Linked DNA regions of Canis lupus familiaris. The protein of the gene in region 1 interacts with the protein of each later gene in a biochemical or structural test. Links are inferred from orthologs where the notes say so. Each region holds a gene or a part of one and is shown on either strand. Other genes may lie near its edges.

Evidence for each region.
Region 2: the proteins of HIF1A (region 1) and HSP90AA1 form a complex in vitro, tested with the Homo sapiens proteins (4 studies listed by BioGRID and IntAct, with this or other methods). The link is inferred for Canis lupus familiaris from reciprocal best matches to the Homo sapiens genes HIF1A and HSP90AA1.
Region 3: the proteins of HIF1A (region 1) and KPNA6 form a complex in vitro, tested with the Homo sapiens proteins (2 studies listed by BioGRID). The link is inferred for Canis lupus familiaris from reciprocal best matches to the Homo sapiens genes HIF1A and KPNA6.
Region 4: the proteins of HIF1A (region 1) and EGLN3 form a complex in vitro, tested with the Homo sapiens proteins (5 studies listed by BioGRID, with this or other methods). The link is inferred for Canis lupus familiaris from reciprocal best matches to the Homo sapiens genes HIF1A and EGLN3.
Region 5: the proteins of HIF1A (region 1) and NAA10 form a complex in vitro, tested with the Homo sapiens proteins (4 studies listed by BioGRID and IntAct, with this or other methods). The link is inferred for Canis lupus familiaris from reciprocal best matches to the Homo sapiens genes HIF1A and NAA10.
Region 6: the proteins of HIF1A (region 1) and FHL2 form a complex in vitro, tested with the Homo sapiens proteins (2 studies listed by BioGRID). The link is inferred for Canis lupus familiaris from reciprocal best matches to the Homo sapiens genes HIF1A and FHL2.
Region 7: the proteins of HIF1A (region 1) and EGLN2 form a complex in vitro, tested with the Homo sapiens proteins (3 studies listed by BioGRID, with this or other methods). The link is inferred for Canis lupus familiaris from reciprocal best matches to the Homo sapiens genes HIF1A and EGLN2.

Annotation. Positions count from the first base shown.
Region 1 is NC_049229.1:36,895,121-36,899,595, forward strand, and holds the start of HIF1A (hypoxia-inducible factor 1-alpha), read left to right. Parts: upstream 1-1,519; 5' UTR 1,520-1,809; coding exon 1,810-1,844; intron 1,845-4,475.
Region 2 is NC_049229.1:70,497,822-70,501,463, reverse strand, and holds the end of HSP90AA1 (heat shock protein HSP 90-alpha), read left to right. Parts: coding exon 1-188; intron 189-302; coding exon 303-450; intron 451-675; coding exon 676-944; intron 945-1,296; coding exon 1,297-1,630; intron 1,631-1,891; coding exon 1,892-2,001; 3' UTR 2,002-3,035; downstream 3,036-3,642. UniProt on the Homo sapiens protein: Molecular chaperone that promotes the maturation, structural maintenance and proper regulation of specific target proteins involved for instance in cell cycle control and signal transduction.
Region 3 is NC_049223.1:68,448,710-68,453,016, reverse strand, and holds the start of KPNA6 (importin subunit alpha-7), read left to right. Parts: upstream 1-1,461; 5' UTR 1,462-1,552; coding exon 1,553-1,583; intron 1,584-4,307. UniProt on the Homo sapiens protein: Functions in nuclear protein import as an adapter protein for nuclear receptor KPNB1. Binds specifically and directly to substrates containing either a simple or bipartite NLS motif.
Region 4 is NC_049229.1:13,056,778-13,061,089, reverse strand, and holds the start of EGLN3 (prolyl hydroxylase EGLN3), read left to right. Parts: upstream 1-1,393; 5' UTR 1,394-1,729; coding exon 1,730-2,086; intron 2,087-4,312. UniProt on the Homo sapiens protein: Prolyl hydroxylase that mediates hydroxylation of proline residues in target proteins, such as PKM, TELO2, ATF4 and HIF1A. Target proteins are preferentially recognized via a LXXLAP motif.
Region 5 is NC_049260.1:122,964,362-122,966,714, forward strand, and holds the end of NAA10 (N-alpha-acetyltransferase 10), read right to left. Parts: intron 1,504-2,353; coding exon 1,419-1,503; intron 917-1,418; coding exon 680-916; 3' UTR 589-679; downstream 1-588. UniProt on the Homo sapiens protein: Catalytic subunit of N-terminal acetyltransferase complexes which display alpha (N-terminal) acetyltransferase activity. Acetylates amino termini that are devoid of initiator methionine.
Region 6 is NC_049231.1:39,109,762-39,113,474, forward strand, and holds part of FHL2 (four and a half LIM domains protein 2), read left to right. Parts: intron 1-1,259; coding exon 1,260-1,429; intron 1,430-2,939; exon of another isoform or gene 2,940-3,047; intron 3,048-3,343; exon of another isoform or gene 3,344-3,436; intron 3,437-3,713. UniProt on the Homo sapiens protein: May function as a molecular transmitter linking various signaling pathways to transcriptional regulation. Negatively regulates the transcriptional repressor E4F1 and may function in cell growth.
Region 7 is NC_049222.1:113,782,826-113,787,226, reverse strand, and holds the start of EGLN2 (prolyl hydroxylase EGLN2), read left to right. Parts: upstream 1-1,432; 5' UTR 1,433-1,550; intron 1,551-1,801; exon of another isoform or gene 1,802-2,085; intron 2,086-2,601; 5' UTR 2,602-2,837; coding exon 2,838-3,674; intron 3,675-4,401. UniProt on the Homo sapiens protein: Prolyl hydroxylase that mediates hydroxylation of proline residues in target proteins, such as ATF4, IKBKB, CEP192 and HIF1A. Target proteins are preferentially recognized via a LXXLAP motif.

The DNA.
Region 1 (4,475 bases):
TGGGTCTACTGACCAGTTAAAACGAAGTGCTTTGTCCATCAGTTGTTAACAGAGTTTAGTGCTATGTCATATAGACCATTGTTTTTACACATCAATATAAGTGAACCCACTACAGATATCCACAATAATGTATCCATAATGTACAACTCAAAGCTAGATTGTAACAATGTAATAAGGCAAACGTGAGAAGTAAAATAATCTCTTGTCAAGTGGAGATAGTAGTGCAATGATGCTTTGAACTCAAAATACATTCTCTCCCGGTTAAAAGGCTGACATGACAGCTTTGAAATACATACTTTCAAATCCAAAGAGTGATTACGTTTTTTATTCAGTGGATTGCAAGGTCAGGGTAGCAGACAGACAATACAGGCCGCCACCATACCCAGTTCAGCCTCCCTGCCCCAGACTGGGTGGTGGTGGGTTTGGAGAATATTTCCTCTTTTCAATCAACACAGTGAGTTACAGGCAGTGAGTCTCAAACTAAGGGTTGTCTTCCCTCTCCCCCCCCCCCCCCCCCCCCCCCCCCGTCTAAAGATTATTCTTGACCCTTTTCCAAACAATGAGGAGGTAAAATGGAAGTCCACCTAAAGCCATTTCCTCCTCTTCCCCTGAAATTCTGGTTTATGCGCTTTTATTAAATAAAGCCACTTTCACCTATTTGTAAATGCTAAAATCATTTCGGATTTTAAGATTTCCCTGCTGCCTTAACTACTTCCCTTGAGAAGTTTACAGCATGAGGAGTTTGTTTGCTTTCCATGTTTTAATTTGCATTTACTCAGTAACCAAACTTCATCACCGAGAAACTTGGTGGACAAGGCGAGTACCCTTGTGTTCCACGGCAAAGAGGCCGGTCGGTGACACGGCCCGGGGTCGCAGAACCGGGCAAGAAAACCCCCACTGCGAACACATCTAAGCAAAGGGTCGACAGCGTTTGCTGCCACGACGCAAAAAGTCTGCTTTGTTGGACTGGACGTGTGTGTGCAGAGCTGGCGGCAACCCTGCACGACGCCGCCACGGGGAAGAGAGAGCGCGAGCGAGCGGGAGACTCGCTGCCCCGGGAAAAGGAAATGTGATGCAGTCTTGAGACCCAAAACCCGAAATCCCTTCTCAGCAGCGCCTCCCAAAGCCAGCCGCCGCTTTCCCTGGAAGTAGGCAGAGCGTCCCCAACCCAGGTTGGCCGCACCCCAGCTCCTTTCTCTTTCCACCGCAGCTGCACACAGACGAGCACGTGAGCGCGGCGGCGCGTCCCAGCTGTGCCTCAGCTGACCAGCTCCCGATTGGCTGAGACGGGCGTGGGCTGGGGTGGGACTGGCCGCCTGCGCCGCTCGCCATTGGCTGTCGGGGAACCCGCCTCCCCCTCAGGTGAGGCGGGCTTGCGTGAGCGCGAGCCGGGCTCCGCGGGCGGGCGCGCCCCCGACACACTCTCCTCCCCCTGCCCCCCCGCGCGCGCGCCCCCGCGCGCGCCTCCGCCCTTGCCCGCCCCCTGCCGCTGCCTCAGCTCCTCAGTGCACAGAGCCGCCTCGTCTGAGGGGACGCGAGGATCGGCCTGGTCGCCGCCGCTTGGGCCAGCGCGTCGGCTCGGGCCTTGACAAGCCGCCCGAGGGGAGGCTCTCCGGAGCCTAGAGCTGGACCCTAGCGATCGCCGCCCGCCCTTCCTGCCCGCGTTCTGCGAGGGGTTTCCCGCCTTGCACCTCCCACCTCGGGACGTGCCTCCGCTCCCCTCGTCGCGTGCGGAGGGAGCCAGCGCTTAGGCCGGAGCGAGCCTGGGGGGGCTACCGGCCGGGAAGGCTTCGCGGGGACCGATTCGCCATGGAGGGCGCCGGCGGCGCGAACGACAAGAAAAAGTAAGCCCATTTCCTCCGCCCGCCGCGTTCTCCGCAGGCGCCCGCGTCCGCCCGCCCGCCCGCCGCCGGGGGCTCGCGGGCCGGCTCGGCGTTCCGGGTGTGTGTGTGGGGGGGGGGGGGGGCGCCTTTTTGTTTCTGCCTCTTCTCCCCTCCCCTCTCTCCCCCAGCCTCGCCGGCCGGGCTCCCCCGCTGCCCACGTCGCCATCTTGTCGTGGGGGGTGGGAGACGCATCGAAAGTGCTTTCAGGGTCCGGGGGCTGAGCCCCGCTAGCCGTGGCCTCCCGGCGCCTGGGCCTCACGCCGCCGTCCTGCCGGCCCGCCTCGAACCCCCATCCGGGCGGACTTCCCCTAGCCCGGGAGCCCCGGGAGGAGAGACGAGCCGCGGCTCCGTCGCCGCCGCCGCTTGCACCCGAGCTTCCGCTCCTTCCCGCCCCCATTCTCTCCGGTTCCATTGAGAGCTCGGCCCCGGGGCGGCCCGCGCACGCCGGCCCCCGGCTTCCCAGGGGGGCCCGCGGCCCTGGGGCTCCGACCGAGGGGCTCGCCTGCTCGGACGCGGGCTCGCGTGAGGTGGACCAGCCGCGGCGGGGGGCTTGGCCTTTGTCGCCGCGGCCCGAAGATGCTAACTTTTACTTCGCACGTGCGGGTTTTGTTTTGTTTTGTTTTGTTTTGTTTTAATCGCCTTGAAAAACTCGTCCGGGCCGAGAGAGTTAACGGGAATTTGGAGAAAGGGTTTAAACATACTAAAGGAGAACCTCGGAATTGGGTACTTGGCGTTTATATCAGCTGTCAAGAGAGTTCAGACGTTATAAATTAATATGTGCCTCATTCATTCCCGAAAGCGTCTTAGTGGAAAATGTAGCGGCTGGCTGAATTTAGGCAAACAATATTAATGAGATTGGGGGGCGGTGGGGGTGGGGAAGAAATGTGTGTGACCGCAGCAAATGAAACGTAGCATCCAAATTTTTAGAACCGTCTCCCTTTCATGAAGCTGAAGTATGTTAAAGGCAGACCTAGTTATACCTGACGTAAATGATCATCCTGTTAGAACTTAATGCAAGTTTTTAATGCACCTTAAAGTTTGAGTCTGAGTGGTACATTGTAGGATAAAGGATTGTAAATGGAACCAGTGGGATCAAGAGTGATCCACCACCACCCCCTCCCCCGCCGGCACAATTTGGTACACTTTTGGTATTTTAACCTTTGTGGAAAACATTTTAAGGAATTGGAGGTTTGTAATAAAGAGTTGTGGTTAGTACCCTGGTTTGACTCCTTAAAAGTCGTTTTGCTCTTCTAGGGGAGATTAAACTTCCCCAATCAGTGTCAGCGCAAGATAGGCTTGTTTGTGTTGTTGCTATTTCGTGGGTACATTTTGGTCCTCCTTTGGTGGAATGATAAAGTCTCAGTTTGTGTACACCAGAGAAAGTTCTTATAAAATTCAAAAAGTGAGTGAACAGGACTAGACTTAATTCCAAGAGTTGACAGGAATTAATTGCAATCAATTTTGCAGAAGTGGTTACAGTGCTTTTGATGAAATGATGAGGCTGCTAGATTATAAACGTAAAGCAGATTATCTCCGTGTAGTGTCAATTTTCAGTCCTTATTATATGCTGAATCATACTTAATATTGTGCATCAAGTTATGCGCCAATCGCTTCCTTTTTTCATGTGCAATATTCTGTTCATTTCTCCTTTGCACTTCATCAGCTGGGATATCACAAGCAGCATTAATAAAAGTGAATTAATTAGTTACTGTGCATCACCCCCAATTCTAAACTCATTCTTAGATTTTGTTCAGTCCTATCTGTTACTTTCAAAATACTCTCATTTGAAAATTTAGCAAATTTGGATCAGTTTGAGTCATATTTCTTAATATAGAGGTTCTTATAAGTTAAAATTAAGTTAAACACTTAGTAAACAGCCACTCAGCTTTTAGATGGTATTTGTTAAAGGTGTCTGGTTTTTATCATTTTCTAACTAATACTTTTAAACTTTTTGAAAGAATAGCTGAGACATTAAGGAGCAAGGTATTTTCTCCTTACAGTTTTTCCATTTTAAATGTGCTCTAGAGCCCAGGTTGGGGAGACATATTTGTCTTCCTTAAAGAAGGTCTAGGAAACTCAAAAACTGAAGCATTGTAAGATATCAGAACAGAGGATGGATATGGTTATAATGAGTTTAACAGGGAATTTCACGTTGATTCCTTAGCAGTAGGTAGGGGCTGGACTTAATAGCACATTAATACCGATTTTTAGATTTCAAAGGACTGTCAAGACGTTCATTGTTCTCTTACAGGTTTCAGGCCAGACTCCTTCAGTATCCAAAACCGGTTATTGGATCATTAAAGTAAAATTTCTAAGCAAGGACATCTCTTAACATCTTTAACTTTTGGTTATTAAAAGTCAAGAAACTTTAATTTGTTAGTAAGCCTTTTTTTTTTTCTTGTTACAATTATACTTTGACTTTTCCCCCCTTTTTTTGAAGAAGAACAAGCCTGGTAGCTGAGGCATAGGATCTGGACCCAGACATCCCTTAGTAAAGAGCCCATTTCTTTCACTTGTTATCTTTGTAAGCTTGGGCAACTTACTGAATGCTTCTGAGCCTATTTCTTCCTTTTGAAATGATGATAATCATAG
Region 2 (3,642 bases), about 34 Mb from region 1:
TCATTAGAGGTGTGGTGGACTCTGAAGATCTTCCTCTAAATATTTCCCGTGAGATGTTGCAGCAAAGCAAAATTTTGAAAGTTATCAGAAAAAATTTGGTCAAAAAGTGCTTGGAACTTTTCACCGAACTGGCTGAAGACAAAGAGAACTACAAAAAGTTTTACGAGCAGTTCTCGAAAAACATCAAGGTATGTGTAAACACATTTGATCCTTAGGAGTGGTTGTCCTTGTGTTTTGTCAAATTTTAAGCGATTTTTTTTTTTTCAATGCAGAGAAAATTCAAAGTTAATGTTCTCTTCTAGCTGGGAATACATGAAGATTCTCAAAATCGGAAGAAGCTGTCAGAGCTGTTACGATACTACACGTCGGCTTCTGGTGATGAGATGGTTTCTCTCAAGGATTATTGCACTAGAATGAAGGAAAACCAGAAACACATCTATTACATCACAGGTAAGAACAGGTGTACAATCAGCTTGTTCTTCCAACTTCCTAGGAGGTAAGAGTGTGTACTCTCTACACACGTGCTTTTACACGTCAGCCTGTAGGGACTAGCCTAGGCAGGACCATGTGGGCTGGGCTCCCTTGTGTGGTTAGGTCTGGCTAGACCAAGTACAAGTCTAAAGGAAATGAAACTACTTCCTATTAAAGTTCTGTAACTTTCTACCTACACCTCAGGTGAGACCAAGGACCAGGTAGCAAACTCTGCCTTTGTGGAGCGTCTTCGGAAGCATGGCCTGGAAGTGATCTATATGATCGAACCCATCGATGAGTACTGTGTCCAACAGCTTAAGGAATTTGAGGGGAAGACATTGGTGTCAGTCACCAAAGAGGGTTTGGAACTTCCAGAAGACGAAGAAGAGAAGAAGAAACAGGAGGAGAAAAAAACAAAGTTTGAAAATCTGTGCAAGATCATGAAGGACATCTTGGAGAAAAAAGTAGAAAAGGTGTGTGAGAACAGTGCTTCAGTGTGCCTGGGTCTCCTGCTGGTGGGTGTTCTGTGGAGTGCCCGTGGGGGTTTCCCAAGCTTCTCCATAGGTTTTTCTTAATTTCTATACAAATAGAAAATCAGGTTTTTCTACTTTGAGAAAACTCTACAGTTTTGTTAAGGTCTGGGAAGAGTTAGGATGTGGAGGAAGAAAGTTCTTAAGTTTGTAGGTGGTGTTTCTTGATTCGTGAATACAGTACTTGGAGTCCTTAGGTTTCATTTTAATAAAGCGGATAGAGGTACTGAAAAATGAGAAGTTAGGGCAGCAGAATCTTCCCAGGTCCATTTCTCACCTCATGCTTTGGTTACAGGTGGTCGTGTCAAACCGATTGGTGACCTCCCCGTGCTGCATTGTCACAAGCACATATGGCTGGACGGCAAATATGGAGAGAATCATGAAGGCCCAAGCCTTAAGAGACAACTCCACCATGGGTTACATGGCAGCAAAGAAACACCTGGAGATAAACCCTGACCACTCCATCATCGAGACCTTACGGCAGAAGGCAGAGGCCGACAAGAACGACAAGTCTGTGAAAGATCTGGTCATCCTGCTCTATGAAACCGCTCTCCTGTCCTCCGGCTTCAGTCTGGAAGATCCCCAGACACATGCTAACAGGATCTACAGGATGATCAAGCTTGGGCTCGGTAAGCTTCCCATGATACAGTGGTGTGTGACCTTTGGCTCCTGAAACAATTCTGGGGGGGTGTCAGATCCGGTTTGGGTGACCTCTTAAAGTTTTCTCCTAAGGATGTTACAGGGCTTTTTGATCAGAAAGGCTAAAAAATGAAAGTGGTTTTCACTCCCAGGGAATTGCTCACTCTTTGAAGTTAGGTATAGACCCGCTGTTAGGCTCATTAATTAGCTGGCTTCGAGAAATCCAATGAGAGGGCTTTGTGTCCAAACAGGTATCGACGAAGATGACCCCACAGCTGACGATAGCAGTGCTGCGGTGAGTGAGGAGATGCCGCCCCTCGAAGGTGATGACGACACGTCACGCATGGAAGAAGTCGATTAAGTGCTGCCCTGAGAATTACTTGTATATGTATTCAATACTTTATCTTCATTCCCTCTGATAATATATTTTCAAGGATGTTTTTCTTTATTTTTGTTAACATTTTAAGAATCTGTAAGGCATGACAATATAGCTACTTAAGGGGAAGATAAGATTTCTTTTTGTTTGAGTGTGATACTGTGACGTGTAGGAACTAAAGCTCGGCTAGTTTTTCTTTCCTAGTCCCATGCTGGCTTATTTTAACCGGACAAGGTAACCTATGTTGTAAGGTGTACGTAACCTAATGTTAGCCGTGTGGTCTCAAGTGTGGATTCCGTAGTAAGACCAAGTGTTTTTTTGTCACTGAGGTGTTCTGAGCTGTACCTTGATGTGTAAAAGAAGAAATACTGGTTAAAACAACTTTCACCTTCTAGGATCTACTTTTTAAATCTTCTGTCCCTTGTAGTTCTCAACTGCATGTACCAGGCCTCTAGAAACTAATAGTGAAACTGAACCAACTGGATGGGAGTAGCCATGGATAGGGCTTGTTTTCCAAAGAAGAGCGTTGTTTAGAGTAGCGAGATTCTAAGCCTCTTTAGGCGTGTTGTAAAGCTGTTCAAGAAGTAACTCCACAAGTTTTGTGAGTGAAAATGTGTAGTGCTCAAGTCACATTCTGCTTTAAGAGGTTGTAACAAATACAAACAAATTAAAAAAAGTTCTGTGAAAATGTTTTGTTTTGGGGGGGGGGAAGTGGGCATTCTAGATGACAGGGCAGCCACAGGATGTAAAAACTTTAGTGTTGGCATGTGTTAGGGATGAGGGAGGTGGCGGACGTTGACACCTTGAAGTCTTATTAGCGACCTTGCGGTGTGCGCTCCAGTGACAGCCGCGGGGTGGTGAGCATACTGGGGAGCGTCCCACAACGTGCATCCTGTGTCCTGTGTTCCAGTTTCTCATGGATAATTATTTTCTTCCTAGGGTTTTCATGTCCAAGCTGCTTTTTTTGTAGTATTTGTAAAATCTGCTTTATGTCCTAAATATAGTTCCTTAATACCTCAGCCTCCTGAATATCTTGAGTTCTTTACCAAATCTCCTTACTGCCATCCCACCTGAAATCCTTACTCCCTGGTTCTTTACTGAGTCTCAGGTGAGCTCTGTGGAGGGGTGGCTGAGACTCCTGTGAGCAGCAGGTGCTGAGGTGGGGGGAGCTTGAGCTCAGGTGTGTTTTTGTTTTTTTTTTTTTTCTTTAAAGATTTTATTTAGTCATGAGAGACAGACACAGAGGGAGAAGCAGGCTCTATGCAGAGAGCCTGACATGGGACTTGATCTGGAACTCCAGGATCAGGCCCTGGGCTGACAGCAGGCGCCAAACTGCTGAGCCTCCCAGGCTGCCCCTTGAGCTCAGGTTTTAAGAACCAACCAGCTTGGGGCAGGGGCAGCAATGGCCAATCCGAAAATAACATGTTCCTGGAAAGTGGGTAGTAGCAGGTGACTTGGAGGCTAAGGTCCCATATAAGCCATGACCGTGTTAACCTGGGGGAGCGGGCTGGGAGAGAACTTGGGAGCCTTGTGTCCTGGGGGGCGAGGCTGGTTCCCTGGCGCTCTGCAGGCCCTGAGTGCCTGGTGAGTGGTAATCCGTTAATCAGTAAAGCCCTCTCAGAGGTA
Region 3 (4,307 bases), on another chromosome or scaffold:
CTCAATGAGAGTCCAACATTCCTTTGGTTGCTGATTCCAGATGTGCTTCTGTGGTCGTTCCTTCTTCCAATCTAACCTCCCCTGCCTGGCTTCTCCAGTGAAGTCATAAGCAAATATTTGCAATAGTTTCTTGTCACCATGGTGACTAAAGAAGCACAGCCAGGTTCTCCTTCCAGCTTTGCTGTCAGCTCTGCTTGAAGGAGGAGACCGCCCCCTGGGAGAGCCCAGGCTCAGAGTCATGAAAAACCATGTGTCAGGTAATGGGGGACAGCAATCCACAGTGCTGCCTTTAGAAATCTGTCCTGTGCCTCTTAGTCTCCAGGCACAGGGGTAATCAGGAACCCCAAAGGGAGGCCACTGCAGTCCCCTACAATTTTTTTTTATATAATAAATTCACTTGGGCTTCACCACATAGTTGTGTCTCCTACATTCTAAGACCTGCTGTGATTGGTTTGCCAAGCTACTTTTCAGAATGATAGAGGCACCCTCTCTGAAATTTCATTTCCTCAGTTTCTCTACCTCCAGAATTCAGCACTTTTTTCAGCTTCCATTTTCGGTTTTCTTTCACTCAGATTCTCTTAAGACTCTTCCCTGCCCCTCTCCCATTTATGTCCTTATTGTATTTCTACCCCCAACATGACTTCGTGGTTGAAGAACCAGCCCAAATCTTGAGATTTCTTTTTAAAAACTCCCCATTACACTCACCCCAACTACTTCAGAAAGGGGGTACTCTTAGAATTACTTGTTCTGTTTGCCTGTAAAACTTATTTTTCACCCCTTTAGCAATACTTTTAGTAACTGTTTCCAGTTAGCAACTTAGAGAGTGGGGGGCACCTGGGTGGCTCAGACAGTTAGTTGTCCGACTCTTGATCTCAGGGTCATGAATTCAAGCCCTACGTTGGGTTCTCATGTAAGCTGAGAGCTTACTTTAAAAAAAAGAGAAAAAATAATTTAGAGAATTAGGAAATACCTCTAGAGGAAGCCTTACTTACTTGTGGGTTAACATAATCAGCCTCACTTTTTTTTTTTTTTTTTCTTTTCAAGGGGGAGAGAGTGGGAGGGAGAGGGAGAAAATCTCAAGCAGGCTCCATACCCAATACAGAGTTCAATTACAACTCTGAGGTCATGACCTGAGCCGTAATCAGGAGTGGGCCATTTAATCCATTGAGCCACCCAGATGCCCCAATCAGTTTCACTTTTACCAGTTTTTTACATATTGAGATTGTTTTTCAAATGTCAGTATGGGGTAAGCTATGATAAAGTCATTCTGGCCACAGGAAGGGACAGGAATGAGGTGTAAAAGAAGTCTGTTAGGTTCACAGATCAGAGAACCACTGCATGCGTATCGGGTCACAGAAGAAAGCACCAGGCAGAAGGGGAAGGGCAAGCCAATTTAGGCCAGAGCCTTTACTAAAGTTTCTGAGGGAAACCATGAAGGCAGGGCAGAGTATAAACAGTTTAGGATTGGCTAGTTTGAATGAATCCATAGGGCTTTGGCCTACAGGAGTGGTCTCTACTTGCCTACTACTACCTGACCAAGGGATGAATTAAAATGGAGGAATATTGCTTTTTGGGGTGTACAGGTAAGATAGAGGAGATGTGACCTTGGACTAGTTAGTTTGCATTCTGTTGGACAAGTTGTTCCCTTTAGGAATTACCAGCCATGGGAGGGGCAGTCTCTCCCTGGGTCTGTAAAGCTTGAAATGGAAAAACATCAAGAACACAAAAATAAGAAAATACGGTTAACATAATTGGCCCTGAAATGAAGGAATGTAAAGAGACAAATACAGAATCTTAAAAAAAAAAAAAAAAGATTTAGAACAGGGATTCTTTGTCAGATTTAATTGGAGGAAGTGTGCTGCAATTTAAATTTTTGTGAGGGGCAGCCCCGGTGGCCCAGCGGTTTGGCGCCGCCTTCAGCCTGGGGTATGATCCTGGAGACCTGGGATTGAGTCCCACGTCAGGCTTCCGGCATAGAGCCTGCTTCTCCCTCTGCCTGTGTTGTGTCTCTGCCTCTGTGTGTGTGTGTGTGTGTGTCTGTCATGAATAAGTAAATAAAATCTTTAAAAATAATAATAATAAAATTTTTGTATGGTAAATATATCAGAATTCACCATTTTTAAATGCCTAGTTAAGTAGCATTTATTATATTACATTGTTGTGCAACCACCACCACTATCCATTTCCCAACTTTCATCACCCCAAACAGAAACTGTGTACCCATTAAGCAATAACTCTCTATTTTTTCCTCCCTGTAGCACCTGATAACCTTTAATCTACTTTCTGTCTCTGAGTTTGATTACTCTAGGTACCTCATAAATGTGGAGTCATACACTTGTCCTTTTGTGTCTAGCTTATTTCACTTATAATGCTATCTTCAGGGTTCATCTATGTGTCAGACCTTCATTCCTTTTTATGACTGAATAATAATCCATTGTATGTATATGCTCCATTTTGTTTATCCATTCAACTTATGACTATTGTGAATAATACCACATTGAATATTGGCATATAGTATCTGAGTCTTGTTTTCAGTTCTTTTTTAAATATACCAAAGTCATGAATTTACATTCCCACCAGCAATGCACTAGATACCCATTTCTCCACATTCCTGAGAACACTTGGTATTTTTTCTGTTTTTATTGTGGTCGTTCTAGTAGATATGAAATCATATCTCATTGTAGTTTTGATTTGCATTTCCCTTAAGGTTAATTATGTTGAGCATCTTTTTTTTAATATTTTATTTATTTATTAGAGAGAATATAAGCGGGGGGGGGGGGTAGAGGGAGAGAGAGAATCCAAGCAGACTCCTTGCTGAACTGTGGAGCCACAGACCCTGATCATGACCTAAGCCCAAATCAAGAGCTGGTTACTTAACTGACTGAGCCACCCAGGCGCCCCTGTTGAGCATCTTTTCATGTGCATATTGGCATTTACATATCTTCTTTAGTGAGCAGTGCACAAATCATTTGCCCATTTTTATTTTTTTTTTATTTTTTTATTTATTTATTTATTTTTTTTTAATTTTTATTTATTTATGATAGTCACACAGAGAGAGAGAGAGGCAGAGACACAGGCAGAGGGAGAAGCAGGCTCCATGCACCGGGAGCCCGACGTGGGATTCGATCCCGGGTCTCCAGGATCACGCCCTGGGCCAAAGGCAGGCGCCAAACCGCTGCGCCACCCAGGGATCCCCATTTGCCCATTTTTAAATTGGGTTGTCTGTCTTTTTGTTGGGTTGTGGAAATTTTTTTTTTAGATATTTTATTTGAGAGAGAGTGTGAGGGAGAGAGAGCATGAATGGGAGGAGGGGAAATTCTTTATATATTCTTGATATTAAATCCTTATCAAACATGATTTGGAAACAGTTTTTCTCATGCTACAAGTTTTCTTTTCACTTTCTGTTAATATCTTTTATTGCTTCTGCTTTTGATGTCATAGGTAAAAGAATCCATTGCCAAATGAAAAGTCATAAAAAACTTTCTCGGTGTATTATTCTAAGCATTTTATGGTCTTGGCTTGCATTTAGGTTGTTGATCCATTTTGAGTTAATTTTTGTACATGGTGTAAGCTAGGGGTCCATCATCTGGAAATCTAGTTGTCCCCACACTATGTTTTGTTTTGTTTTTCTTTGTTTTTATTTTTGTTTTTTTTCCCCCACACTGTTTTGAAGAGACTATTCTTACTCCATTGAATGAACATGACACCTTTATTAAAATTTGGCTCACCATAGATGTGTGAATTTATTTCTACACTCTGAATTTTATTCCATTGATATGTAAACATCCTTATGCCAGTACTACGCTATTCTGATTACTATAGCTTTGTAGTAAGTTCTAAACTCAAGAAGTGGGGATCCCTGGGTGGCGCAGCGGTTTGGCGCCTGCCTTTGGCCCAGGGCGCGATCCTGGAGACCCGGGATCGAATCCCACATCGGGCTCCCGGTGCATGGAGCCTGCTTCTCCCTCGGCCTATATCTCTGCCTCTCTCTCTCTCTCTCTCTGTGACTATCATAAATAAATAAAAATTGAAAAAAAAATATTTTAAACTCAAGAAGTATGAGTCCTCCATCTATTAAGAGTATGAGGACGCCTGGATGGCTTAGCAGTTGAGTGTCTGCCTTTGGCTCAGGTCATGATCCCAGGTTCCAGGGATTGAGGCCCACATCAGGCACCCTATAGAGAGCCTGCTTCTCCCTCTGCCTGTGTCTCTGCCTCTCTCTGTGTTTCTCATGAATAAAATAAATAAAATATTTTTTAAAAGTAAGAGTATGTTGTTAGGTTCCACATATTTGTGAATTTCTTGTT
Region 4 (4,312 bases), about 24 Mb from region 1:
AGTGCCAGCTAATCACCATCCTGGCAGAGAACCTCCTCTCAGTAAAACAGAAGTTTCACCACAGGTTTCTTACTGACTGCTCCCTCTTGAACATCCCCCAGGTTCTTTCTCCACCAAGGGTCCCTGAGTGCTTCTTTCCATCATGTAGCAGCAGCGCCTTTCCTATTCTACTCTTTATTCTTGGCTTGGATTTCATTCGTCTCTTCCTTTCATATCTCTCCCTTAGCATGCAGAGCGGAGAGGGCTTTTGGAAGGAGAATAAAAGTGAAAAAGCTGTGGAGGGTTGTGTACAAAATACATGATACCTGTAAAACTTGTTCATTCCTTTGTTCAACTGAAATGAAGAACCTGAACGCAATGTAATGTAAAATTTAAAATATGGAAATGACTTTGCATGCAATTTAGGAATCTTTTCCCCCTGATTCTAATCTCTGGTGTTTGGTAGGAAAGGGAATGAAAAACCCATAAAGCAATCAGCTTACCTTTGAATAACTAAAAAAGTCTTTTAGGTGGTGTCCATCCCTCCTGAGTAAAGTGTAGTTTCTTGGAGAAAAGGTGAGATTGGAGACTAGAATTTAGTGTGTCTTTTGGGGGGTATACTTATATGGCTGTTACATGAGCATGTGATTAATTCTGAAGGCAGAGGTTCAGAACATCCTATTTTAATAAGAAGCTTGAAAGAGAAGTGGATGAAAACATGCAGCGAAGCAAAATACAGCATTTTCAGGGTTCAATCAGATAATATCCAGCATTTCTTCATTGTACACATCTCCTCCTCCTCTCTCCCGTCCCCCCCCCCCCCCCCCAGGGAGAGGACACAGGGCTTTGGGGGGTGGGGGTGGGGACACGAGGGTTAGGGGAATGTTTAATTTTCGTTTAAACTGGATTTATCCCACTCTCTGAGTGGCTTGAGTCTCCTGACCTGGGTCAAACAGCAGATGAAAGAGGAATAAGGCAAGGCACCAGGTAAAGCTAGACCTGGATCACTGTTCAACACACGTATCTGTTTCTGAGTTTGTTATTCTGTTCAAGAGGTGACCAGCCCAGACCGTGGCAGTAAACTGTGCTAATTTCATTTACATTTTCAGAGTTGGGATCCTTCAAGTTTGTTATGGGCTTTTATGCAAAACATATGCAAATCGGTAGCATTCTAAAAATTCCGTATGTTTTCCAGTCCTTTAGTCACAAACAACCGAGGCTGGCGCCGGGCAGCAGTAGTCGGGGAGTGGGCGCCGGGCCGGGGGCGGGGCGGGGGCCGGGGGCGGGGCCGGGGGGCGGGGCGGAGCCGCGGCCTGGGGCGGGCCGGGGCCGGGGCGGGGCCGGGGCGGGGCCGGGGCGGGGCCGGGGCGGGGCCGGGGGCGGGGCCCGTGACGCGCCGAGTCGGCCGGCTCCGGGGCTGGACCTCCGCCTCTCCCCGCCTGGGGCCGCCGCGGCACCAGTGGCGGCTCCGCATCTCCAAAAGGGGCCCGCCGACTCCTCGCTGGGCCAGTCCGGCGCTAGGTCGTGGATCCCCGCGCAGCTCCCACCGGTCTCGGAAGGGGAAGGGATCCCGCCTCCCAGAGTTTCGAACAACTTTCCCCTCTCCCTGGCGCGGCGGTGGCTCGGGGACCGTGGCCGCCGCAGGTAGCTGAACCCCGGGCCGCGCTCCCCGCGCCTCGGCTGCGCGCGCGCAGGTCGCTCCGGGTCTCGGTGCACGCTGGGGATCCCCGAGCTTGGCTCTGAGGGCGAGATGCCCCTGGGACACATCATGAGGCTGGATCTGGAGAAAATCGCCCTGGAGTACATCGTGCCCTGTCTGCACGAGGTCGGCTTCTGCTACCTGGACAACTTCCTCGGCGAGGTGGTGGGCGACTGCGTCCTGGAACGCGTCAAGCAGCTGCACTGCAACGGGGCCCTGCGGGACGGCCAGTTGGCGGGGCCGCGCGCCGGCGTCTCTAAGCGGCACCTGCGGGGCGACCAGATCACGTGGATCGGGGGCAACGAGGAGGGCTGCGAGGCCATCAGCTTCCTCCTGTCGCTCATCGACAGGCTCGTCCTGTACTGCGGGAGCCGGCTGGGCAAATACTACGTCAAGGAAAGGTCCAAGGTAGGACGCGCGGGCTCCCCGCCGCCGCCGCCGCCGCCGTAGCGCCCGGGGACTGGGGACCTTCGGAGCCCGTGTCTGTTGCCTTCGCTGGGCTGCGAGTGAACTTTAGCTTTTAACCGACGAGCAAGAAGTCAGTCCGGGTCCCCCTCCCCCACCCCGCCTCCCAGCGAAAATCCGTGCTGAGGGACTCAGGTGTATGATTACCATGACCTTCTGTTAACTGAAACAGTGGGTCTCGTGGGTGGTACACACCGGGCAAGCTGCGGTTTTCTGGGCTGGTTTTAATCCGTGGAGGTTCCCAAAGGTCCAGATGAGGGACAGGTTATTGGAAACATTGCGTATGATGGGAGACACGTGCGAAGTCATGATATTAGATGTGTCCACTTTAAAAGTCCCCTAATACTGTACCTCATCTGTGTTCAGAGGGTATTCCTCTTAAAGAATTCTGGAGACAGTTGTGATGTTTTTCAGGGTGACATTTGGTGTGTGGAGTTTGGCAGATGTGACCAAGTTTGACCTGAGAGAGAGTAAAGCTGGTCTGCACTTTTGAGTGCTGCCCTTGGCTTGGTGCTGCCCTTGGCTTGTTGCACACTACTAGACGGGCTCCCTGGCTGAGCAAAATCTGTCCTGCTGCTGAGCCCTACGCCACCACCTTCCCTTTCCGAACTATCCATTGGTGGAGAAATCTACCCAAAACAACCAGTTAAGTGATGGGGAGAGTGTAGTCAGGTACCTCTGGAAAGAAACCCTGTTTTTGTTCACCACAGCCAGAAGTGACTCCCTGGGTGGTAATTTATCTTGGAAACGTTTCCAGGTAGATTGGCAGAAATATGGGAGCCGTGGTACCACGATGTTGGTCTGTGTATGTTACTTTGGGATAGTCCAGCTACTCAGCCTTTTCTACAAATGCTAACCCGGCCATTCTCCAGTGGCAGTTCCGAGTGATTTGCACTTTTATTGCAGACTGGTCAAGGTGCACCCAGAGCCGTAGAAAACTTTAGCACAGGAGGAGGCAGGGCATGCTAGCATGAGAAGAAAGGTGCACCAATCTTTAACAATATCTATACCATTTCTCAGTTTAGATCGACCCTTTGATAAAACATACCTTTATTGTCTCATTTGCCTCATAGACCGAGGGGATACTTTTAGTAAAGGGCAAGTGAAAGACTGAAAATGGGTAGAAAGGACCCATTGGAGTGGGGGAACAGAGTAGAGGAGAAACACACGACTATATGCCTTTCAAAGCCAGGAGGACATGAATAGAATGTCTGAAAGCACTTGTTAATCAGACGCAAATAAAGTAAATCTTGGGAGAAAATGCTGCTTTCTAAGTTTTATTTTGATTTGGGGAAAACTCAGCTGCCTGGACTCTGTACAAGATTGACATGGAAGTGTTTTACTCTTTTATCATTTTAGTGATTAGAAAGCCATTTGTCTTGGTTAGTTTTGTTTTTGCACTGAATGACCTTGCCTCCTGGGGCTGGAATGGGGGGCGGGGGGGGGGGGGGAGGGCTAGCCTCAGTGTTACAGAAGTGCTTGTTGCCTCAGTCTGGAAGAGCAGATGGCTTCTTATCAGTTTTGCAAGTTTCATTGCAACTCAGGTGCTAAGAATTTTACCCCCAACGTTCTAGGAACGTAATTTGCTCAGAGGGAGGTCAGGATTAATTGGTAGAAAGTCGTCACTAACAAATTTGAAAGTTAAGTATTTGTATTTAGCTTTGACTATAAATTGACTCCACAGACTGGAGGAGAAACACTGTATGTCTGGGTAAGGAAAAAGATCTCTAGATAAGATTCTTCAGTTATAGATTATCTTCTGGGTAGAACAAATAGCTTCTCAATTAACCCTTTCAGAAGGTGACTGAATTGAAAGGAGAAAAGTCATCTCTTGTCCATACCTAGATTTCTGGCTTTTCTTGAGCTGTTTTGGCACAAAGCTTTTCATTCCTGTCCTTTAGAAAAATCACCTCTAGGTTGGGCTATTCCGTGGCCAACTGGAACCAGCTGTAAACCAGACTTGAGCCAACAATTATTAAGAGTCGAAGATAAAAAGTTTGATTTGTTTGTATAAAGAATTCTCCCTCGCTTTGTGGCCTTGGGTCTTAATAAAGCATGGTAGAAATGCAGTGCATTTCTGTGTGATTTATATTAGTTTCACGTTAATTTAACTTTCTTCTTCTCTTCCCTCATCTGAGTGCCTTACCCTATCCTCTTCCCAGAGTAGTG
Region 5 (2,353 bases), on another chromosome or scaffold:
ATATAACATTTGATACAAAGTAACTCAGGGATGGTGAAGGAGGCCGGAGGGAGGTTCCAGGGAACTATCCAATGGCTCAGTTCTGTAAACCTAAGGCTGTACTAAAAATAAAGTTTATCAACTATTTCCAAATGAAGGCTTAGGTTAGGGGGCAGATTCCATGGGTATTACGGTAGTCGAACACACCAGACTTCCCGATCTTCTGGATGGCAGGGGAGGGAGGAATCAAGGACAGCTGCCAGGACTTGAGCAACTGGGTGGCTGCTTGGGCCATGACAAGACAGGACGGCACCAGATAAGCCCAGTGAGCAGCTGGACTCTAGGCATCAGGAGCCCAGCAAGGCAGCAGCAGAGCATCTGCCTCCCGGCAGGGACCAGCCTCCAGAACTCCAGGGTGTCCCTCTCCCGGGCCCAAAGGTGCCGAAAGCCATCAGACATGGGAGCCCCACCTCCAAATCCCCTCTACTTGGCTCTGGAGGGCATGCGGTGCTGAAAGGCTGTGATGTCCATAACCACAGGGACACAGAGTGGCTGGAGAGAGGTGGCCCCCTGCCCGCCCCCCATGTGCATACTCGCACACACACACTCCCCAAGGCCACTGGGGGAAGTTTATTGGGAAACCTCGAGGGGCGAGCACAGGATGGGCAGGCCAGGGTGGGGTGAGGAGCAAGTGCGGGCTCTAGGAGGCAGAGTCAGAGGCCTCTGAGCTGTCCTTGACGTCGGTGCTCTCTGTGGTCTCGCTGACCTCGCTGAGATCCTTGCTGTCGCCCCCGCTATCGTCAGCAGCCAGGCCTCTCTCGTCACGACAGGCGTCTCCAGAGCTCGGAAGCGAGCTGCCCCTGCCCTCCACCTTGTTCTCGATGGCGCCCAGCACCACGTGTCTGCCTTTGTCCTTCAGCTCCAGATGCCTTCGCAGCTGCCGCCAGGAGCCCGGGGGGACGGAAGGGGAGACGGGACCTAAGTCTCCTGAGCACGCAGGCCCTCCGCCGCCCCCCACACCGGGGATGAAGGGCGGCAGGCCTGGGGCAGGAGACCTCTTGGGCCCTGCAATCTCCTCTGAGTGAGCGTGCACATGCCTCCCTCACACGGGCTGCCACCAAGCCCTCAGAACGGCCCTGGCCCCTGACGAGCCTGGGGCAGGACCCTGACTTTCTCCTCTGCCCAGCCGAGTCTCACCCCTGAGACCAGGGGACCAAGTTCTGGGCGCTTCCAAGAGCCTCCTCCCTCTCCTCTGCCATCACGCCTCAGACAGGACAGGCTTTGGCAGAGAAGGGAACATTGGGGTGATACCTCCTTTCCAGCCCGGCCATGGCCTGCTCCCTGCCTGGCAGCTGAGAACGTGAGGGGAAGGGGCGCCGACTGGGCAGCACAGCCTCTGAGGGCCTCCGACAGCCTCAGGCACCCCAAGGGACACTCACCTCGTCAGCCATCTGGGTGAGGTCCCGCTTCATTGCGTACGCGTCTTCCCCATCGGCGTAGTACTTGGGCTCCACTTCGCTGATCCTGGGGGCAGGAGGAGCAGAAAAGAACGACCCAAATCAGAGTTTCAAGTCTCCTCAGTCTTCTGGCATCCTGCGCTAGTGCGGCGGCACGTCTGTCTTCCCCGACGGAGACAGCAAGCCCATTCCGACGCGGCCTGCCCTTTGCGCTCGCCAGCAGTAGGCAGCAAGTAGCACCCAGCGCCTTGCACCCTCTGGGGGTTCCCACTGTCCTGTGTCCCTAAGCTGGCTCCCACACATCTGTTTCTGTGGTTTGCTGTGAGCCCAAGCCCTGAATTAGCTGTTCCCTTCCCTCCATGCCCTGTTCCCTGTCACTCACTGAGCAACCAAGGCTGACTCCTGGGCCTAGCCACTGGAATGGAGGAGGACGGGAGCTGGGACCTCTGGTTCCTGACAGTCACTGCCAGGCCCTGTGACCCCTGCTCTGAGGACCTTAGGGGCCAAGCCTGCAGTGGAGGGTGGATGCACACACTCGGGTACCCTGCCACTGGAAGGGTGTTGGACTTGATGGCCTAGGAGAGCTGGCCAGCCCCGAGACCCCACAACTGTTGGCCACCAGAGACTCTATATCCAGATCAGGACCCCTCCCTGAATGCCTTTCCTGGCGGTCCCTCTTCACCCCCAGCAAACTGAAGCTGAAGCTGTCTCTGGGGGTCCTCCACCCCCAGCCTCCCCTTCGAGCAGCTTCCACCACATCACTTCCCTGCCAGGTTTTCTCTGTTCTGCGCCAGGCACACAGAGACTCCCATGTCCTCAAGTGGGCTTGCCCTCATCCACCAGGATACCCCAGGGCTCTGCATCCCTCCACTGCTCTTGCCGATGACTCTACCTGCCTGGACGTGCTTAGGTTTCCA
Region 6 (3,713 bases), on another chromosome or scaffold:
GGAAGTGAGCAGGTGCGGCTGCGCTCCAGGAAAAGCCCAGCTGCAAAACGGGGGCGGCACAGACTGTGCGCAGCCACAGCACCCCCGTCCTCCCCGGCTGGCTCAGGTATTCAGAGCACGTTTCTTTTTTTTCACTTCTTACCCTCCTTTCCCCGCAAAATGTACCTTGTTGCTGCCTGCAAAGCGTGCTTGCATACGCATCTGTCTTGAACACATCTGTCACCTCTTTCTGTAAAATACACATACTTTTATTCTCTTGGAAAAGTATTGGAAAATGTCCACAAATCCTGAGCATTTGCTGTGACTCCGGCTCAGGGGCGGGTTCAAGGGTGGGTGGGGATGGGGGTGGGGGTGAACCAAACAGCATTTCCGTTCTCTAGGACTTCTTCATCTACTTGAAGAAATCACATAAACATAGCACACGACAACAGTTATTCGAAAGGAAATGCAATGTCACAAGATTAGAATCAGAAAATTGCTAAATTAGCCATCCGGGCATCACTTGTGGCTTTTAACAGCTGCATTCAGTGCAGCGGGGAGAGCGTGGAGACCCAGCAGCTTGGTTTACACCTCGGGCCATATAAGGTGATCGGTCGGTGTGGAGGCTCCTCATGGGATCAGGCTTGACACTCTAGGTTCGTGTACAGCACCACCACTTTCCATCCGGTGTTTTTTTTTTTTTGTTTTTTTTTTAAGATTTTATTTATGTTCATGAGAGACACAGAGAGGGAGGCAGAGATGCAGCAGAGGGAGAAGCAGAAGCAGGCTTCCTGCAGGGAGCCCAGTGCAGGACTCGATCCCAGGATCCCGGGGTCCAACCTGAGCCAAAGGCAGATGCTCAACCACTGAGCCACCCAGGTGTCCCTCATCCTGTGCTCATTAACTGGCTGCAGGGCTGTGTCCCACTCCGTTGGGACTGGTCTGAGCTAGGCCAGCTTGCTCTTTCTGCTTTGCCTACTGAGACATGGAGTGACAGATCCTTTTCCCACCTAACGTTCATTACCTCCCTGCTGGACAAATAAACCTCGAGTATGCACAGAGACTGTTCTGGGAGCAAGGTGTACAGCAGTGAACCCCCAAAAATACACAATCCCTGCCCACTCCCAAACAGTCCCATTTGGAGGCCAGCCTCTGAGAGCCACAGTGATGCCACAGTCACAAAACTAGGTGGTGGCAGGTTCTTGACGAGGGGCGCTGGGAGTGCAGGCCTGTCATGTCGTCAGCTCTGCTCTTTGCCGTCTTCTTGCCCCTTGTGCCAGGTACCCGCAAGATGGAGTACAAAGACAGCAGCTGGCACGAGACCTGCTTCACCTGCCACCGCTGCCAGCAGCCCATCGGTACCAAGAGCTTCATCCCTAAGGACAACCAGAACTTCTGTGTGCCCTGCTATGAGAAACAGTACGCCTTGCAGTGTGTTCAGTGTAAAAAGGTAGCTCTCACCTCCCCCGGGACCTCGTGTATTCCAGTCTGTTTGCCTTGGCTGTCAGCCCCCTTTCCCCGGGGACAACACCCTTGGTACTGGGATGGCACAAGAGTCTCACCTGTCCGGCCCCGCATCCCAAAATTCTCATGTGCACGTGTGCATTTTATCCACTGGAAGGACCCCCATCCCAGGCCTTCTTTTGACCGCACAAGGGCCACTGGGACCTGAGATGGGAGCCTGTAGCCCTCCCTCCTAGAGCACTGCCGAGTTTTTGCTCCTATTCATGACATGACGTTAAAGGGGAGGAAAACTTACTATCCCAGAGCTCCTGTTACACTGTCCTCCATCAGTAGACAAGAAACGAGCTGCTGAACCTCGTGGGAGGGAGGGATGTGAGAAGCAAAGGAAAGTTGTGGCTGGGACAGGGGACAGGTCACTCGTTGCACCCAGCCCGCTCATCTCGTGCCGTGCTGTCACGGCCATTAGTCAAAGGCAGAAAAGGAGCGCCACGCCTGCCGTCCTTTGCCCTGGCAGGGCCTGCTGGGGAGCGATCGCAGAGCCTGTTTGGCTCCGGCCTGTTCACTGACGCGGCTGTTGGGCCTCCGTCTGCGGAAGAGCCCGGCTGCTGTTCCCTCTGCTGGTCGGCCTGACCTCGAATGCCCGACCTGCTGGCGCCTTTCCAAAGGGCAGAGTATTGCTCACTCGCCTTCATGCTCTCTCGTCTCCCTCGGCCTCGTGTCCGTCTCATTTTTTAAACTACGATTTTAAATTCCACATCTTCCAACTTCTACTCGTAAGATTATATTACTTTTCTGCTGTTTTTCGCTTCCTCCTTAGATGAATCGCTCCTTCCTGTGTTTATGTCAGGAAGCCTCTTTCTTCTCTGCTCACTCCCTTTTTGTTTGGTTTGCTCTTTCTCATCAAGATCCACGGAAAGTTCACGTCATTTGCTTTTCTTGCATTATCTTCCTCCCAACCTTATTGCTACTGTGTTCGGTGGCAGAAGTGAAGGTAATGCATCCTCCGGGAAGCACAGCCCTGTGGGTGTTCATCAGGACTGGTGGAAGCATTCACACCAGTAACATCCACCCTCCCGCAGCGCAGGAGGTGCTCGGGGCTACTAGGGCCTGGGGGGAAACACACTTCGGTGGCAAACGTTCAAGTGCTTATCGACAAGCGTGCTTTGGAGGAAAACAGTCGTAACAGAGCGTACACAGGGGCCAGCTGAACCAGTCGGAGGAGTGGGAGCCAAGCTGGTGTTTAGGGAGGGCTGCTCTGGGACAGTGACACCCACGAGCATGTCTGAGCCAGCTGGGCCATGCGGGGTGCGGGTGGGCATGTGGGTGCAGAGAGGACAAGAGTGTGGATTCCACGTAGAGCAAACCTCTTACTACACCCACCTTCTCTGTCCACACAGACACCTTGCCACTGAATGTATTTTGCATAAATTCTGTTCCAAGGCGGGAATTTATAGGAAGATCATTAATACATTATAGTTTAATGAAAAGAATATACGGTGCTCACTTCGGCAGCACATATACTAAAATTGGAACAACACAGAGAAGATTAGCGTGGCTCCCGCACAAGGATGACAGGCAAATTTGTGAAGCTGTTCCGTATTTTTTATGTTGGCAAATTGAATTTAAATTCTAAAAAAATTAAAAATAAATAAATAAAAAGAAAAGAATATATGATAGACTCCTGAATCCAAGTACCTGCTTTGTCTTTAGCTAGCAAATTCTCAGGCAAGTCCCTTAATTTCTCTGGGTCTCAGTTTACTCACTTGTAAAATGGATATAATGTCTGTAGTATGTAAGGGCCTTTATATAGTTGACCTTTGAACAACACAGAGTTGAAAGGGACCAACCCCCCTGCACAGTTGAAAAACCACATAGAACTTTTGAGTCCCTAAAAACTTACCTAGTAGCCTGCTGGTGACCAGAAGCCTTCCCGGTGGCATAAATAATCGATGCACACAGCTGTTGTATGTTATACGTATCCTAAACTGTATTCCTACAATAAAGTAAGTAGAGCAAAAAAAAAAAATATTCAGAAAGTTACAAGAAAAAAAGCATTGACAGTATGGTACTGGGTTAATTGAAAGAAGCCCATGTACAAGTGGACCTGCGCGGTTCAAACCTATGTTGTTCGAGGGCCAGAGCTGTGCTTTCTGTAAGGACTAGAGGCAGCGCTGGATGCTAGGGCGGGTGACAGACGGGTCTATCGAGCTGAGACTCACCGTCCTTCATCCACTGTTGAAGTATATATATGAAAAGAGAAACACGATAAA
Region 7 (4,401 bases), on another chromosome or scaffold:
AGGGGAGATGGAAGAGTTCCCTGATGGAAGAACCATGTGTCATGGTGTTTGGGGGCCATGTTTTTGGATTGGATATGGTGTGGGGGTACACCATGACTCCAGTGGTCTTGTGGAGGGAATTTTTAACTGCACATGTTGTGACCAGGCATGCTGGAAGTCCACCTGTGGGGCGCTGATGTCCTGTGTTTGTGACCTGTATGATGGTACCTGTAGGAATATGTGCTGATTGTGTGTGATACTGTTGCCTGTGACTACTTTGTGTCTTTAGTGATTGTAACCATGAGGCTGGTGTTGTTTGGGACCAAGGCCAGGGAATGAAAATTAAGGCCAGGAGATAGTACCCATGCATGTTTGATGCTAGAAAGTCCCAGGCCGTGTCTGACTGTTGTGTGTGTGACACTGTGTGTATGCCCCTGAGGTCTGTGTGTGTCTTGTGTGAATTTGGCACCCTTGACACGCCTGCGTGTGACCATGAACCCTGAGTATGCTCCCGAAGACTCTGTGGGCCTTTGTGCAACTTGCGCATATTTGAGACTTGTGCATACTTGATACTGGTGTATATCTCTTGTGTCCTGGTGAACTGACATACTTGCAAGTACTCTGCCAGGGACAGGTGCAGCCCCCCCCTCAGGACACTTCCAGCTTCTCTGCCATCCCCAAGTCAGCACCAACCCACTCACAAGGTAGGCCTGACCCCAGAGCCTGCTGCCTCTTCCCCGCACCCCCGCTCCGCCCTGGCGATGGTGGAGGGGGCAGGGCATTTAGATAACCTCATCTGCATAGTCCTTCCAGGCTAGGTCACCTAAGATGTTCCGAGACCCGAGGCTGTCAGACAAATGTCCTGTCTGCGAACTCTGAGTAGCTTTCCTAGGTTGCTTTATTTAGATTCTCACAATTGTCCCGACAGGGCAGGGTGGAGCTGGTCTTACTGTGGCACATCCCTTCCAGTCTTCCTCCCTTAGGGACCTTCCACGGTTTCTTTCCCTCCTTTATAAAAAGTACTTAAGTAAATGACTAATGTGCACGTTTCTATACGTTTCTCTACCAAATGCGCAGACATTTTTTTTTTTTTTTTGACATTTCTCTATCACAGTCCTATTCTGGGGCTGGGAGAAGGCGGGACTGCCCATGTAAATAATATTATTTGCATGTCACTTTCCACCGCTCGGTGCTCCGAGGGGTGGGCCGGCCCATGCAAATAACGCTATTTGCATGCCCCTCCCACGTCGTTTGGCCTAACCGTTGAACTCCCTCAGGCCTTCCCGCTCCTCGCCCGTAAGGGGCGGAGCGCAGCACGCAAATGAGCCTCCCGTTGGCGACCGACCCATTTCCCCTCTCTCGGGGGGCGGGGGGGGTTGTCCTGCGCTACCTTGCTCCGCCCCGCGCGGCTCGCGCCTGCGCACGCGCGGTGTCCTCCGCGGGCGCGGTCACGTGCCCACCGGGCGAGGCGGGGGCGGAGCGTCGCGGGAGGTGGGGGCGGGGTATGGCGCGCTGTGCGGCGCTGGGCGGCTGGCACAAACGGCGGCGCCGAGGCCGGAGGAAAAAGCTCGGTGAGGAGAGCTCGGGGAGGGAAGGGAGCGGGGAGCGAAGGGAGCGAAGAATGCTCTCGGGGCGGGGCGCCGGCGCGAGCCGGGCTGGGTGTGGGGACGCGCGGCGGCCCGGCGTGGCGGAGCGCGGCGAGCCGGGGGAGGGAGGGAGGGAGGGGGGAGGGCGTGGGGGAGGGAGCGCGCCCGGCTCGCTGAGTGCCGGCCGTTGGAGCGTAGGGGTGGGGGCGGAGGGCGCGTGCCGGCGGACGGGAGGGGGGGAGGGGAGCGGGCGCGGGGGCCCAGCGGTCCCCCGGCCCGGCCGCGATCGCCTCCAGCGCCCCGAGCGGGGAGGCCCGCACCGAAGGCGGCTGGGAAGGGGGCTGGGAGGGGCCGCCTTCCCCCGTCCTGTCCCCGAGTGCGTGAACCCTCCCCCGCCCTCCCCCCGCGTCGCCGTGGACCCTCCTCCCGCGGCTGCCTTCCGTCTGTCTGTCTGTCTTAGGCCCTCCCTTCCGTCTGGGTGTGTGTGAGCCGCCGGCAGGCTTCCTCTCGTTGGGCTCAGGTTGACCCCTCCGCCCCGTTCTGTCCCGCTGTCTCAGGCCCGCCCTCCCAGCTTCTCCCCGGTCGGCTTTTCCGCTTCTGGGCCCCCCATTCTCTTTGTCTCTGGACTCCCCGGTTTGCTGTGTGTGTGGAGCCCCCCGTTCCCGCCGTGCGTGTCTGGAATCCCCAGGCCGATCTCCTGCTCCCCACTGCTCCCCCACTGCTCCAGCATTCTTTTTCTACTTTAGGTCTTCTCTGTCCTTTCTGTTTTTCTCTCTCTCTCTTCTCAGGATGCTCTCCCGCAGCCCCCACCACAGTTCTGTGTCTCTGGGTCATCTCCCCAGCCTCACTCCTCTCTCCGTGATTGTCACCCCCCTCCCCAATTCCCATGGTTTTCTCTCACAATGTGGCCTCGGGTTTGGGGTGTCTGTGTAGCCAAGTCTGCCTTCCTCTCTATTGCCCCTGCTACCCTTCACCTCTACCCCAGCTGGAGTGCCTCTAGCTCTTCTCACATTCCTTTTTCTCTTTTGCCCTTCAGCCACCCTGACGGGTCCTTTCCCAAGCCCCTAGGGGCAGCAGAGGACTTGGGGACCAGCAAGCACCCTCAGGGCCCGAGAAGAGCCTCTGCTGCCTGCCCTGCCTCACCCTGTCCTACGCCAGGCTCAGCTGCCCCGGCCCCCGGCTGCATCAAGTGGAGGAGGCGGAGGCGGAGGAGGGTGGCACCATGGGCCCGGGCCGTGCCCTCCATGCCCGGGGGATGAAGACACTGCTGCCATGGACAGCCCGTGCCAGCCACAGCCCTTGAGTCAGGCTCTTCCTCAGTTGCCGGGTTCTGTGTCAGAGCCCTTGGAGCCTGGCCGGGCCAGGATGGGGGTGGAGAGTTACCTGCCCTGTCCACTGCTACCCTCCTACCACCGCCCAGGAGCACCTGGTGAGGCCTCGGCGGGGAGTGGGACCCCCAGGGCCACAGCCACCTCCACAACAGCCAGCCCCCTGCGGGAGGGCTTCGGCGGGCAGGATGGTGGCGAGCTGCGCCCGCTGCAGAGTGAGGGCGCTGCAGCACTGGTCACCAAGGGGTGCCAGCGACTGGCCGCCCAGGGTGCCCGGCCTGAGGCCCCCAAACGGAAGTGGGCAGAGGATGGTGGGGATGCCCCAGCACCCAGCAAGCGGTCCTGGGCCAGGCAGGAGAACCGGGAGGCAGAAGCCGAAGGGGAGGGCGGCATGGGCTGCAGCAGTGGCAATGGAGAGGCCAGCGTGGGGCCGCGGGAGGAGGTGCTGCCCGCCGCACCAGAGCGCCTGGCCTTGGACTATATTGTGCCCTGCATGCGGTACTATGGCATCTGTGTCAAGGACAGCTTCTTGGGGGCGGCATTGGGTGGCTGCGTGCTGGCTGAGGTGGAGGCCCTGAAGCGGAGCGGGCGCCTGCGTGACGGGCAGCTGGTGAGCCAGCGGGCTATCCCGCCACGCAGCATTCGTGGGGACCAGATTGCCTGGGTGGAAGGCCATGAGCCGGGCTGCCGAAGCATTGGGGTCCTCATGGCCCATGTGGATGCTGTGATTCGCCACTGCGCTGGGCGCCTAGGTGGCTATGTCATCAACGGGCGCACCAAGGTAAGACTTGGAGGGCCTTGTGTGGAGGGGGGCCCCCCAGTACTTGTTTGTTGGAGACCTGGTGCTTTGAGCATCAGTGCCCTTGAAGATAGGCTTCTGGGGTCACAAAAGGATTTAGGCAGCTCTAGTGGAGTGAATGTTGGTGTTGGAGTTTGATTTGGGCTCTCCCTCCCTGGGAGGATTTTGGGGGTTGTGCACTTATTCTTTCTCCTATCCCCTATCTTTTCATCCATCCCTCTCTCATCTCTCCTTTCAGTCGTTTCTGGTCTGTCCTCTGGTCTGTCTGTTCTGTCTCCCAGGAGGAGTGGGGAGGGTGGCGGTGGTGAGGCCAGTGCCAGGCTGAGGGAGGAGGTGCTGCCTGCTGCACTTGTGCTGGACTACATTGTACCCCATGTGCCGTACTGTGGCATCTGTGGCAAGGACAGCTTCCCGAGGGTGGCACTGGCTGCCTGTATGCTGGCCTAGGGGAGGAGGGAGGGTCCTGTCTTCCATCTTTCTTATGCTTCCCATCCTAATGCTTGTCTTGTATCCTTCCCATCTTGTCTATCCGTCACTTTATTATTTTTGGTTCTGATTTGTTCTCTTGATTTTTTGTTTTTTTGTCTCGGTACCTTTTCCTTGTTTTGGAGTAGTTATTAATCTTTTCTTTTTTTGAACTCGGCTTTTTTGAGAATTTGCCAAAACCACAGACCCTGTTTTAGAAAAAATGCTTATTTGTCTATTTATG